Oryctolagus cuniculus: one gene and its partners. The protein of the gene in region 3 interacts with the protein of the main gene of each other region in a pairwise test. Links are inferred from orthologs where the notes say so. Each region holds a gene or a part of one and is shown on either strand. Other genes may lie near its edges.

The links. The genes of interacting proteins can lie anywhere in the genome.
Region 1: the proteins of PER2 (region 3) and CSNK1D interact in binary tests that used the Homo sapiens proteins (3 or more experiments, as listed by UniProt). The link is inferred for Oryctolagus cuniculus from reciprocal best matches to the Homo sapiens genes PER2 and CSNK1D.
Region 2: the proteins of PER2 (region 3) and CRY1 interact in a two-hybrid assay, tested with the Homo sapiens proteins (5 studies listed by BioGRID, with this or other methods). The link is inferred for Oryctolagus cuniculus from reciprocal best matches to the Homo sapiens genes PER2 and CRY1.

Annotation. Positions count from the first base shown.
Region 1 is NC_091448.1:767,819-771,336, reverse strand, and holds part of CSNK1D (casein kinase I), read right to left. Parts: intron 1,868-3,518; coding exon 1,696-1,867; intron 1,308-1,695; coding exon 1,168-1,307; intron 1-1,167. UniProt on the Homo sapiens protein: Essential serine/threonine-protein kinase that regulates diverse cellular growth and survival processes including Wnt signaling, DNA repair and circadian rhythms. It can phosphorylate a large number of proteins.
Region 2 is NC_091442.1:109,554,786-109,558,303, forward strand, and holds part of CRY1 (cryptochrome-1), read right to left. Parts: intron 3,480-3,518; coding exon 3,328-3,479; intron 3,103-3,327; coding exon 2,900-3,102; intron 2,791-2,899; coding exon 2,695-2,790; intron 1-2,694.
Region 3 is NC_091434.1:2,124,055-2,128,240, reverse strand, and holds the start of PER2 (period circadian protein homolog 2), read right to left. Parts: upstream 2,805-4,186; 5' UTR 2,686-2,804; intron 1-2,685. UniProt on the Homo sapiens protein: Transcriptional repressor which forms a core component of the circadian clock.

The DNA.
Region 1 (3,518 bases), on a different chromosome or scaffold from region 3:
GGAAACAAGCCAGGAGCGCACAGAGCATGATCCCAAGCCACAGGCTTGCCGGGGAGACAACCTCCGGTGACACCGAGGATGTGGGCCGAGAACGGCTGGGCCGCCCCAAGCTCGCTCCCCTCCCGATCCCAAACACCAGACGCTTTATTGAAGAAGTCAGGGCAGCACAGCTGCTGCCTCCAAGAGGCCCCAGTCCAATCGCAGCCTCATTCCTGCTTCACGGGTTGGGCAGAACCAGCCCCGCAGGTGCAGCTGGATGACACCTCCTGGGCCTGCTCACAGCCGCAGCCGCCCGCTGGGAAGGAAGCCCCCAGGCCTGTGTGTGCCCTGCAGGAGCTGCCCAGCGTCCCGGCCCTAGTGGGACGCAGCAGAAAGCACAGACACAGCCCATGATTCGGCAGGGTCACGATGTCCAACGAAACTACTCATTTCCTTCAGAGCTGGGGCACAGGGCTGAGGCGGGCTCCAGGCCCCTGCGCGCCCCACACCCCCACGCAGCCCTGAGCCCAGGGTGGGCTGCACAGCGGAACAGACGCCTCCGACGCTCATCCTCAGCCCAAGCCCAGCCCTCTGGGCGACCACGCCGGGTGCAGTGTTCTGCCGGCTGCACCACAGAACCACGCAGAGCAAGAGTGAGAAGGGAGATGTCGGGAGGAAAACGGTCAGGAGAGCAGGGCCCCCGCTGGCCCCGGCTGCCCAGGACTCGCGTGCTGCCCTGCCCTCACCGCTCGCAGCCGCTTTCTCTGGCACTCTTCTCGTCAGAGGCCGTGAAGAGCACCGGGGCCGTGCCTGCGGGGTCACTGCAGGCCCAGGGACAGGGTGGGGCTCGGGCTCCTCGGCAGCACCTGCCCCCGGTGCCGTCCCTCCCGGACGAGGAGCGGGCAGGGGTGCACGGGGAAGCTGCTCACACGCAGGCGCAGTAGCAGCCGCCACAGGTGCAGCCATGGCTGGAAACCAAGCCCTTGTTAGAGACGGCACACGTTATCTGAGCGCTCAACAAGACGCCACTCACTCACCAGGAACACGGGTCCCCTGCTGAGGACCCCCACACACGGGAAAGGGCAGAAGGGAGGGAGGGAGGGAACGCGATATCCCACCCCACTCTCACCCTGGAGCGCGCGAGACCAGCCCTGGCGGGGCTCAGGTGGAGCGTGGACCGGCACTCACCTGTGAGGTGGACATGCGAGAGGTATCTTGCCGGCCCGTGAGGTCGGACGAGGAGATGTTGACTGGCGCCCCGCGGTGCAGCCGCATACTCACTTTCCGCTCTCGTTCCATGCCAGAGACAGGCCGTGGAGAGGTGTTGGCTGGGGGGGCGGGCAGAGACCCAGGGTGAGCTGGCCTACCCACGGCCTGTGCTGGGGCCTGGCTCCCGCACGGGGGTTCACTGGAGGAAGCTCCATGGACAGAGGGGCCGCTGGCAGGGGAGAGCCCCCAATGGCTAGAGCTCAGCATGGAGGGCACACCGGGGCCTCATGACGCCACAGCACCTGGGGCCCGGGGAACTCGGCCCTACAAGGTGCATGGGAGAGAAATCTGGGCATTGGGAGAGACATCCCACTTGTTCTTTGGAGTAAGAACCGACCAAAGCAAGAGGTCCGACAGCACCAGCCACGCGTGGGAGGCCAGAGCGCCAGCCCAGACCCAAGAGACACTGGACAGAAGGGAGCCCTGTGCTCGCCGACGGGCACTCACCCGTGTGTGAGGTAGGGGTGAGGGGCGTTGGGGGAGCCACTTCTTGGGTTCCCCGCAGGCGGCCAGAGGCTGTGGAAGGCAGGCCACGGGTGGCTGGGTTCCGGGAGTGTCTCAGCCGCTCTTCTCGGTCCCGGCGTTCCCGCTCAGCGTCGTCGGCAGCCCGGCTGGCACCCTCAAGAACAGGAAGAGGAAGAGGTGAGCCCAGCGCTGACCCAGGCTGCTGGAAACAAGGCCGCCTGCTGGACAAGAGCTGCGCCCATGGTGGTCAGACACTTTAGCCCCCCGACCCACAACCACCGGAAAAAACCAATTCGCACTGCTGTGTGCTTTCCTGGGCGGCGGCTCAGGGCTGCCTCAGCGTCACCACCTCCCAGGCTCCCCCGCACACCCAAACGCTTGTATGTGGAGGAAGTCAGAGTAGGAAACCACCTAAGGCGTGGCATGGGCTCAGTGTGGCAGCACCTGGGGAGGGGTGGGGCAGAGGCAACAGCACTGGGTCACTGAGGGACCCACCCAGCGCCCAGACTCCTGACCGGGGGAGGCCACGCTGTAGTGGGGCCAGTACAGCAGCCAGGCTTGCGCCCCACAACCCCAACTCGTGCTTTTGTTTCTTTTTCTTTTTTTTTTTTTTTTAAGATTCATTTACTTTGAAAGTTACAGAGAGGGAGAGGCACAGAGAGAGGTATCTCCTATCTGCTGGTTGACATCCCAAATGGCTGCCAATGCCCAAAGCCGGGCCAATCCGAAGCCAGAAGTCTGGGTCTCCTATGTAGGTACAGAGCCCCAGACATCTGCACCTCCTTCCGACGCTTTCCCAGGTGCTTTAGCAGGGAGCTCGACTGGTAGAGCAGCCGGGTTTCGAACTGCGGCTCACAGGGGATGCGGCACTGCAGGCAAAGGCTACGCCACGGTGCCAGCCCCTGTACACTTCTGATTAAGGACTGGGTGTGGGGACGCGATGGGTTAGGCTGTCGCTTGCAACACCATCATGACGGGTTCGAGGCTTCACTGCTCCACATCGGATCCGGCTCTTTGGTGATACGCCGAGATCAGCGGAAACCGGCAGGACCTGGGCTCCGGGAGACCCAGACACGAGCTCCAGGCCCTGGTTTCAGCTGGCCCAACCCTGGCCACTGCAGCCATTTGTTGGGTGAACCAGCAGGTGGCAGATCTTTCTTTCTCCCTCTGTACACTCTGCCTCCCAAACAAACAGTCTTTTTTTTTCTAATTTATTTATTTATTTGAAAGGAAGAAGGACAGAAAAGAAACCTTTCCAATAATTCATTTGCCGAATGGTCCCAAAAGCCAGGGCTGGGCCAGGAACCCAGAACTCAATCCAGCTGGGTCTCCCGAGCACCGGAGCTGCTGCGGCTCAGGGTTTGCACTGGCAGGAAGCTGTCTGGCAGTGGGCGCTGACGGGGGACGCACTCCCAATCAGACCTTCGCTGCTACTTCAAACACCCTCCGTGCACCCCAGGCTAAGACGCCTGTCATGAGCCAGGCCTTGCCCCCACTGCTAACACCATCAGGTGAGGCTCTACACCCACGGCTGCCAGACACAGCCAGGTGCTACCCCTGCGGAGAAGAAAGCCTCACTGGGCTGGACATGCCCGCCCGCCCACACGCTGTCAGGGCAGACAACACCAGCAAAGCCACGGTGACGGCCGTTTGTGCCCGGCTGCAATGAGGGACAGACAATGCCGGAACAAGGCGGGTGGCCACCTGATGCCCGGACCCTGGACTATGGGACAGCAGCACGGGGCTGGCCTCTGAGCCACAGCACACGGTCGTTCGCGCCCTGGGACTCCAGCCCCAGGGCAGGA
Region 2 (3,518 bases), on a different chromosome or scaffold from region 3:
AGCAACAGGCTGTGATTGGATAGCTTTGGAAACCACATGGCAAAAGAGCCTGCCTGGCAACAGGCTGTGATTGGATGGCTTCGGATACTGCCTGGCAACAGGCTGTGATTGGTTAGGGCATAAACCACCCCTTGATCGGATTGGCTACCTTGGCTATTTAAGCCGCTGTACCAACTGAAATAAACGAGTCTGCGGGCTGCTCTCCTCTGGCCTGCTTTCACCCGACTCCTGGGGTCTGTGTGGTGACTCCGCGCCTCTTGCCACCACCATGCGCCTCCTCTCAGAATGAATCCAGCGCAGCAACAAACAAATATATATTAAATTATATTTATTTACACTTTCCTCATTTCATTTATATTTAACACATGTGCTAAATGCCTGTGAATGCCAGGGATTATATCAGGTACTAGGGATACAAATATAACTAAGATATGGGATCTGCCTTCAAGGGATTCATAGCTGAATCTGAGGAGACAACTACACCAAATCACTTAGTATAAAAGTGATATTAGGTGTTTGGATGGATTTTAGTACAGAATACAATAGGGACTCTGAGAAAAGATTGGTCAGTTTTATTGGGAGATTCATAAAGATGGCCCTTCAGACAAGCAATAAACTAGTCACCTTTAGTTTTATTTTCTCAAGGTAACCCATTCTTTTTATTTATTTTCCCCCCAAAGAAACCTTTTGTTTAAGGAATATGGACTTCATGCATTTCTTAAGTACAACTTTAGGAATATAGTGATTCTTCCCAGCATACCCACCCTCCCACCCACTGTTCTACCCCTCCTCCTCCTCCCTCTCTCATTCCCAGTCCCATTCTCCACTAAGATCCATTTTCAATTAACTTTATCAACAGAAGACCAACTCTATAGTAAGTAAAGAGTTCAACAATTTGCACAGTAAAATAAAAACAAAAACAAAAAACCTGCATGGGAAGTTAGTGCATAGTGACTCTTGTTGTTAATTTAACAATTAACACTCTTGTTATTATGTCAGTGATCACCCAAGGCTCTTCACATGAGCTGCCTAGGCCACAGAAGCCTTTTGAATCTACAAACTCCATCAGTATTTAGACAAGATCATAAGTGAAGTGGAAGTTCTATCCTCTCTTCAGAGAAAAGTAAGGTCATCAATTCTATTCCTTCTTCTAGTACTAAGGTAAATGTGAGTAACTTCAAGAACAAAATGTTGAATGAAAGCAGCAGACACAAAAAAGAATACAAACTAGATGATTCCATTCCTATAAAGTTAACAACATAGACAAAAATTATTGTACTATGAATCAAGAGGGTAAATACCTATGAGAAGAAGGGGAAATTAATAAGCTTAATAAATATATTCGGAATTTCTTTAAGATATTTCTTTCTTTATAGGGCTATATGATAGGAAGGCCTTAAGGTCTTCTGACTTCGTGAATTCATGAATACCACTATAGTCTATAACTTTCCCATAAAATGTAGATTTTATTTTCATGTCAATAATGGTATAAGAGATAGTGAGCAAAGAACAGAGACCTATTGATCAGTTAGCTTGTTTAGTCACAAAAATCACAAGTCCTCATAGTCATGTCTTCAGAGTAACTAGAAAAGTTAAATTACAAACTACCAAGAACATATAAGAAGGGAAACTTACAGTGAAAACTTCAAAAACAAATTTTGTGGGGCATTGCTGTGGCATAACAACTTAGGCTACCACTTGCAGTGTTGGCATCCTATATGGGCACCCGTTCAAGTCCTGGCTGCTCCACTTCCAATCCCACTCCCTGTTAGTGCACATGGGAAAGCAGCACAAAATGGCCGAAGTGCTTGGGCCCCTGCACCTACTTGGGAGACCCGAAAGAAGTTCCTGACATAATGATTCAAATTTCCAATACATACCAATTTAACATTATTAATGTCACATATATTAAGAATTTACGCGATGGGGCCAGTGTTGAGGTACAGCAGGTTAAATGGCCAACTGCGATGTTGCCATCCTATACTGAAGCACAGGTTTGAATCCCTACTACTATGCTTCCAATCCAGCTCCCTGCTAATGTACCTGGGAAGCAGTGGATGGTGGCCCAAGTACATGAGCTCCTGGGACCTACATTGGAGCCCTGGATGGAGTCCTAGGCTCCTGGCTTTGGTCTGGCCCACAGGCCATTTGGGGAGAGAATCAATGGATGGAAAATCTGTATCTCTGTCCCTTCCTACCTCCCTCCCTGTCTGTCACTCTGTGTTTAAAATAATAACTTTTTTTTAAAGGATTTAGTTGGTACTAAATATATATCATACAGAAAACTATCACAGACCAGACTTTGTAAGAAAAAAAACCCCATATATAAAAGGACTAGATGCTCTGTGCATGAATGATACATCTCTTGACGATTTTTACAGGGTCACTGACCTTCACTAATTACCTTATAGCTGGTACACACCCAAAGAGAATAAAAAATAATGAACATTCTGAAAATAAGAGTTGCGAATTTCATTTTACCCTTAAAATCATTGTCCACATCCAGTTTGCAAGATCTTTAACTTGATCTAAGTATTTACTACATGTAATGTTTTCCATTTCTAAAATGTCACCAACAGAGTGAGGTGATATGTGTGTGTGCATGGGTATAGACCTATTATATTAACTTTAAAGACAGATTGTTATAGGTAATCTATTTATGTGATGAAGTACAATAATTTCTTTTTCACTTACTTCCACTGCTGCTACAACCTGGAATATTTTCTCCAGGAGAATATCCCATGAGGCCTCCATTCCCATTAGGATTAGAAGGTACTGATGCAAGAAGACCTGAACAGGAAAAAAAAAAAATCCTATCAAATTATGATCAAGATCAAAATCAAGAGTAAATACAGAAACAGCTGCCCAAACAACAAATCAAAGGCAACTATCAACATACCTAGACCTCGGTATCGTGAAAGCTGCTGATAGATCTGTTTCATCCTTTCAATATTCAAACGGCTTGCCTCAGCATGGTTCACCATTGGTTTAGGATAATTAATTCCTATCAAACATTTGGCTACCTTTTGAATACCTTCTGGTGCATTCCAGGGATCATAGATATATTTTGCAGGGAAGCCTCTCAGAACAGGCAAATAACGCCTTTTGGGAAAAGGAAGAAAAATTAATAAAATGTACTATGAGCAAACTGTAAGAAACTACCAGCTATCAGTGACCAAAATCAAATCAATACCATTTAAATGATTTGTTTACCCTTCTCCTTATTTCTGCTGCCCATCTTGAGAGGGGAATACTTAAAGTGTTGCTTAAACATGAAAATCTCTTCTGGATTAGCTATTCCAAACTGAGTAATAACCCTTGATTTACCTGATATAGTCTCCATTGGGATCTGTTCTCCTACCAAAACCAACAGGGCAATAGCAGTGAAAAAACTGTTGGAAAAAGGAACTACAAGATAGCCACATCCAACTTCCAGCATTTATGCTCCAATCTGCATCAAGCAATAATTCTTCAAATACCTTCAGAAGTAACAGTAACCAATTAGTTTGCACACACAT
Region 3 (4,186 bases):
GCCGAGCACGCCCGCGTGAGCGACACCCAGATCTGCAGGAGGGCGCTGCCCGCCCCCAACCTGCCCACCCCAGGGCCCCACCAGCCCGGCTAGTTCTGCCTCTTTCACAGCTTTATGTAACAGGGCTCAGAAGCCTGTCTTGGTGCCTGCGAGTGCGGCGGTATTTTACAACCCCACGTATTGTAACAGGCTTGCTACTTCCTGGTGGGAGCCAGCTCCCTGAGGCCTGGGTAATCTACAGAATGTTTGCCCTGCTGAATAAACAGCCACGCTCTCCATGGCGACGGCCGCCGGGTCACAGGAAAATGTGAGCAGGAGGCCGGCGCGACGAGGGAGGCGCAGGAGGCGAGGGAGGCGCGGGAGGCGAGGGAGAGGAGGCGCAGATTCACAAGTGCGCTCAAGTGGCGGCAGCTTCCCCGCTGCGGGGCTCCGCTGCGCCGCTCTGGGGTGGGCGGATTCTAGGAAGCCGAGGCCCTGGCTCCTGCCTGGAGTGGCTCCCAGAGCGCATCCTGGTCTCTGTCACTCTCGGGAGGAGCACAGGAACCCTTGGAGGGGGCATGACACAGCCCCCGGTGCCGGGGAGCCACCAGCCTCCGACAACCTGTCTCCCGCCACGGCTGCTCCTACTCCGCTCCAGACTTAGGGACACAGTCGCAACTTTAGAGTAGAAATTTTCAATTTTCTTGAAAGGCAGAGACCGAGATCTTCCGTCTGCTGTTCCCCTCTCCAAGTGCCCTCAACAGCCAGGGCTGGGCCGGACCGAGGCCAGGGCTCCCAGGTGGATGGCAGGGACCCGCCACCCGCTGCACACTAGCAGGAAGCCGGAGCAGACGTGGAGCCAGGACTTGCTCTCCGGGACTCAGAGCCAGGATGCCGCATCCCCACGGACCTCCTAACTAACCACGGCGCCAAATGCCCGCCCCACAACTTGTACCGAACAGGCACAGAATGAACACAGAGTTGCAGCGCGGGGGAAAGCACACGGGCTCAGGGCCAGGGCCCGGCAGAGGCCCCGGCCCCGGTCCTCCCTGGGTTGGCAGATGGGCAGATTCCATAGGGGCGGGCGCCAGACACCTGCCAAGCCACGGTCCCGTGTTCAAGCCAGTTTTTCAACATGGGGGCCTTACTCTTCTCCAGGTGGCCGCGCCGGGACCTTCTGGAGCCCTGTGCCCTGCTGAGGCCTGGGGAAGCCGTGTCACCATTCAGACCGCAGCACGCCTCCAGGAAGGTAATGTGCCCCAGCAGCGGCCAGGCCTCGCCGAGGGACGGCCTGCTCTCCTCTGCGGCGTCTCAGGGACCCCCAGCTTGGCAACTGAGCAGACCTGTGCACGCCCCGCCTGGGCCCCTCCACACAGCTGAGGGACCAAGGCCCGGCCGGGGCCAAGCCGTGCAGCCCGGCCCGGGCTGGCTTCCCGCCTCCCACTCCAGCCTCCACAGAGAGCCGGGCCTGTGCGAGCTCTGCCCCAGTGATCACACCGAGACGACGGTGACAAGTGCCTGCCGACACCCACGGTGTGGGCCCTGTGCCGGCACATCACACAGCTCCTCTGCAGCGGGGAGCCCTGTCTCCAGGGTTTTACACGACCTGCAGGCTGACTCCCGGCTCCCAGGGGAAGCCGTCAGGTAGTGTCCTGTCCCCTCCTAGCCAAACCCAGCCTGGGACCAGGAACCTCAGCTGCAGGTCCAGGGTGGGGGTCCCCCCTCTGAGCAAGGGGGTCACACAGAAGTGCGCCAGACATGGGGAGCGGCCCCTGCCCCTGGGTAACACCTAGGGCTCCCAGCCCCGCCCACTCAGGCCCCGCGGGGACCCTGTCCTGAGAGATGCCCGCAGGCCGCAGCTGAGCCTGAGCCTGTCTCTGTCAAGCCGAGGGGCTCCCCTGTACCGGCTCCAGGGTGCCTGGTGACTCCGCGGTTGAGGATGAATCAGCCTTCCAAACCGGTTCCTTCTGTGTAGCCGCCGAAACCCTGGCAACAGAGCCGTCATCCTCTCCCCGGGCTTCCCGAAGCGGGGACGGCCCCTGCCCCCCGCGATCCACGTCTGCGGCTCGGCCAGACCGCCCCCCCCTCCCGGAGCCCCCAACCCACCCAGGAAAAGGAATGCACACAAGGTGGCCGAGCGGGGGTCCTCCGGGCCCGGCCCGGCTCGGCGACCCTCTGGGACCTCGGCTCGCCCCCTCCAGGGCGCCGGGCGGGGGTCCTACGGGCCCGGCCCGGCGACCCTCTGGCACCTCGGCTCGCCCCCTCCAGGGCGCCGGGCGGGGGTCGAGGTAGAGCTCCCAGAGCAGCGCCCACCTGGGGTGCCTTTCCAGCCCAGGACTGGCCCCCCGGGCCCCCCACGGCTGCGGGGCCTGACGCTGGACGAGGCAGCAGGCCGGCGTGGTCCTCACCCACCCCGTCGCTCCGAGACCGCAGCCCGGCCGTCGGGCTTCCCGGCGCCTCACTCTCCCGATCCGCAAAGCTGGCTCTGCGCGGCGGGAAGGGGCGCCCGCAGCAGGCCCGAGGTCTCCCGCACACAACCGTCCCAAGGCCGCCGTCCGTCCGGCCGTGAAGGGCTCGGGCCGGCCCTTCACACCAGAGCGCAGCGCCGGACCCCGCCCGCCCGGCCCGGGGCGGTTACGTAAGAGGCGAGCGGCGGCCGCCGGCTGCCCGCGCACCCGCCGCCCGCCCGGGCGCCGCGCCACTCACCGCCCAGCCGTCGCCGGACCCTCCGCCGGCCAGTCCGCGCGCTCGCCCGGCCCGCGCCCGCCGCCGCCGCCGCCGAGACCAGCGCGTAGCCCGCGGCGCCGCCGCCGCCGCCCCGACCCGCCGCTGTCACATAGTGGAAAACGTGACCGCGCGCGCCGCGCCCGCCCCCCGGCGCGCCATTGGTCGCGGCTGCGCCTCATCTGCATACCGGGGGGGCCGGACCTGCGGGTGCCGCGCGTTCATTGGTGGCGGCGCCCGTCGCTCTTTTTACATAAGACGCACATGGAACTCCATGTTCACTGCTTCGGTTCCTCAATGAAGAGGCGGCGCTTTCGTGTCCCCCCTCTCGTCCTGCCGAGTGGTCCCTTCCGCTTCCGGCCTCGGCGCCTTCCATTCAAGACGCCTCGCGTCGACCCGCCCCGGGAGCGCGGAGTGGCGCGTACCACTGCGGGGCAGGGGAGCTAGGCGCGGGGCGCACTACTGCGCACCGGCCGCCGGCAGGGAAGATCCCGCGGCACAGAAGCCCGGGCTGCGTGGGCTGCTGCCTTTGACGACCCGCCGGAGGCTCTCCCGCAGCGGCCAGGGCAGCGGGAAACTCCCTGTTGACGTCCTTCGTTCACTCATTCATTAATTTATTTACTCATTCGTTCATTCATTCATCGCTGGGCGCTGGAGCTGCCCAGGGAACTGAAGACAGCCCACCAGGCCACCCAGGTGCCTGTGGCGGTCACTTGTCCCCGATTGGTCAGGAGGGTCAGCTTCTTATTTTTTTAACTATGCATTGCAATTCTTGGGGTGATACAAAATAAGATGGTGTCCCTGCCCGCAGGCACATCATTAAGGAGAAAGGACGGTCCCAGGAACTTCATCCACACTAAACTGGGTGGTGTGGATTATAAATCAGCCAACACACGGGTTTGGTATAACAGCAGGGCCTTAGCAAGTTACAAGCCACAGAGAAACAGGCGCCAGAGGGGTGGGCGGGCTCCGGGGAGACAGCACTGACCCTGGAGTAGTGAGCACTGATGGGGGCATGGCAAGCCGCCAACCTCCCATCGCCGTGTCGGGAGAGAGTGCACTGACTGTGTAGAAGCCTGGACCATTGCAAGTCCCGGCGCGGCGCGCAGGCTCCCGGGCAGCGGGCTCTGGGAGAGCAGGGTCTCAGAATGGTGGGGGCACCAGGCGTTGTCCGGGAACCATCTCCCTTTCCTCTCCTGCTGCTTTGCTGGGCTCTCCGGGGCCAGGCATGGGAGGGAAGGGAAAGCACTGGTAGCCCAGGGAGCCCGGCTGCTGGTGTCGGAAGCCAGCTCACCTGCTGCCGCCCCTCTGCTGGACAAGGTGCGTGTGCCACTTCTCAGGCACAAACCGGGCCAGGGACCACGTTCAGCGGGGCAGCCCTGGGGCAGCTCACGCCTCCTCCTGCTTCTCTGCCCCGCCATGCCAGGCACACAGGCTGCACCCTGCACACACCCTGAGGGCCTTTTGTCCTCCCTTGCCCTGA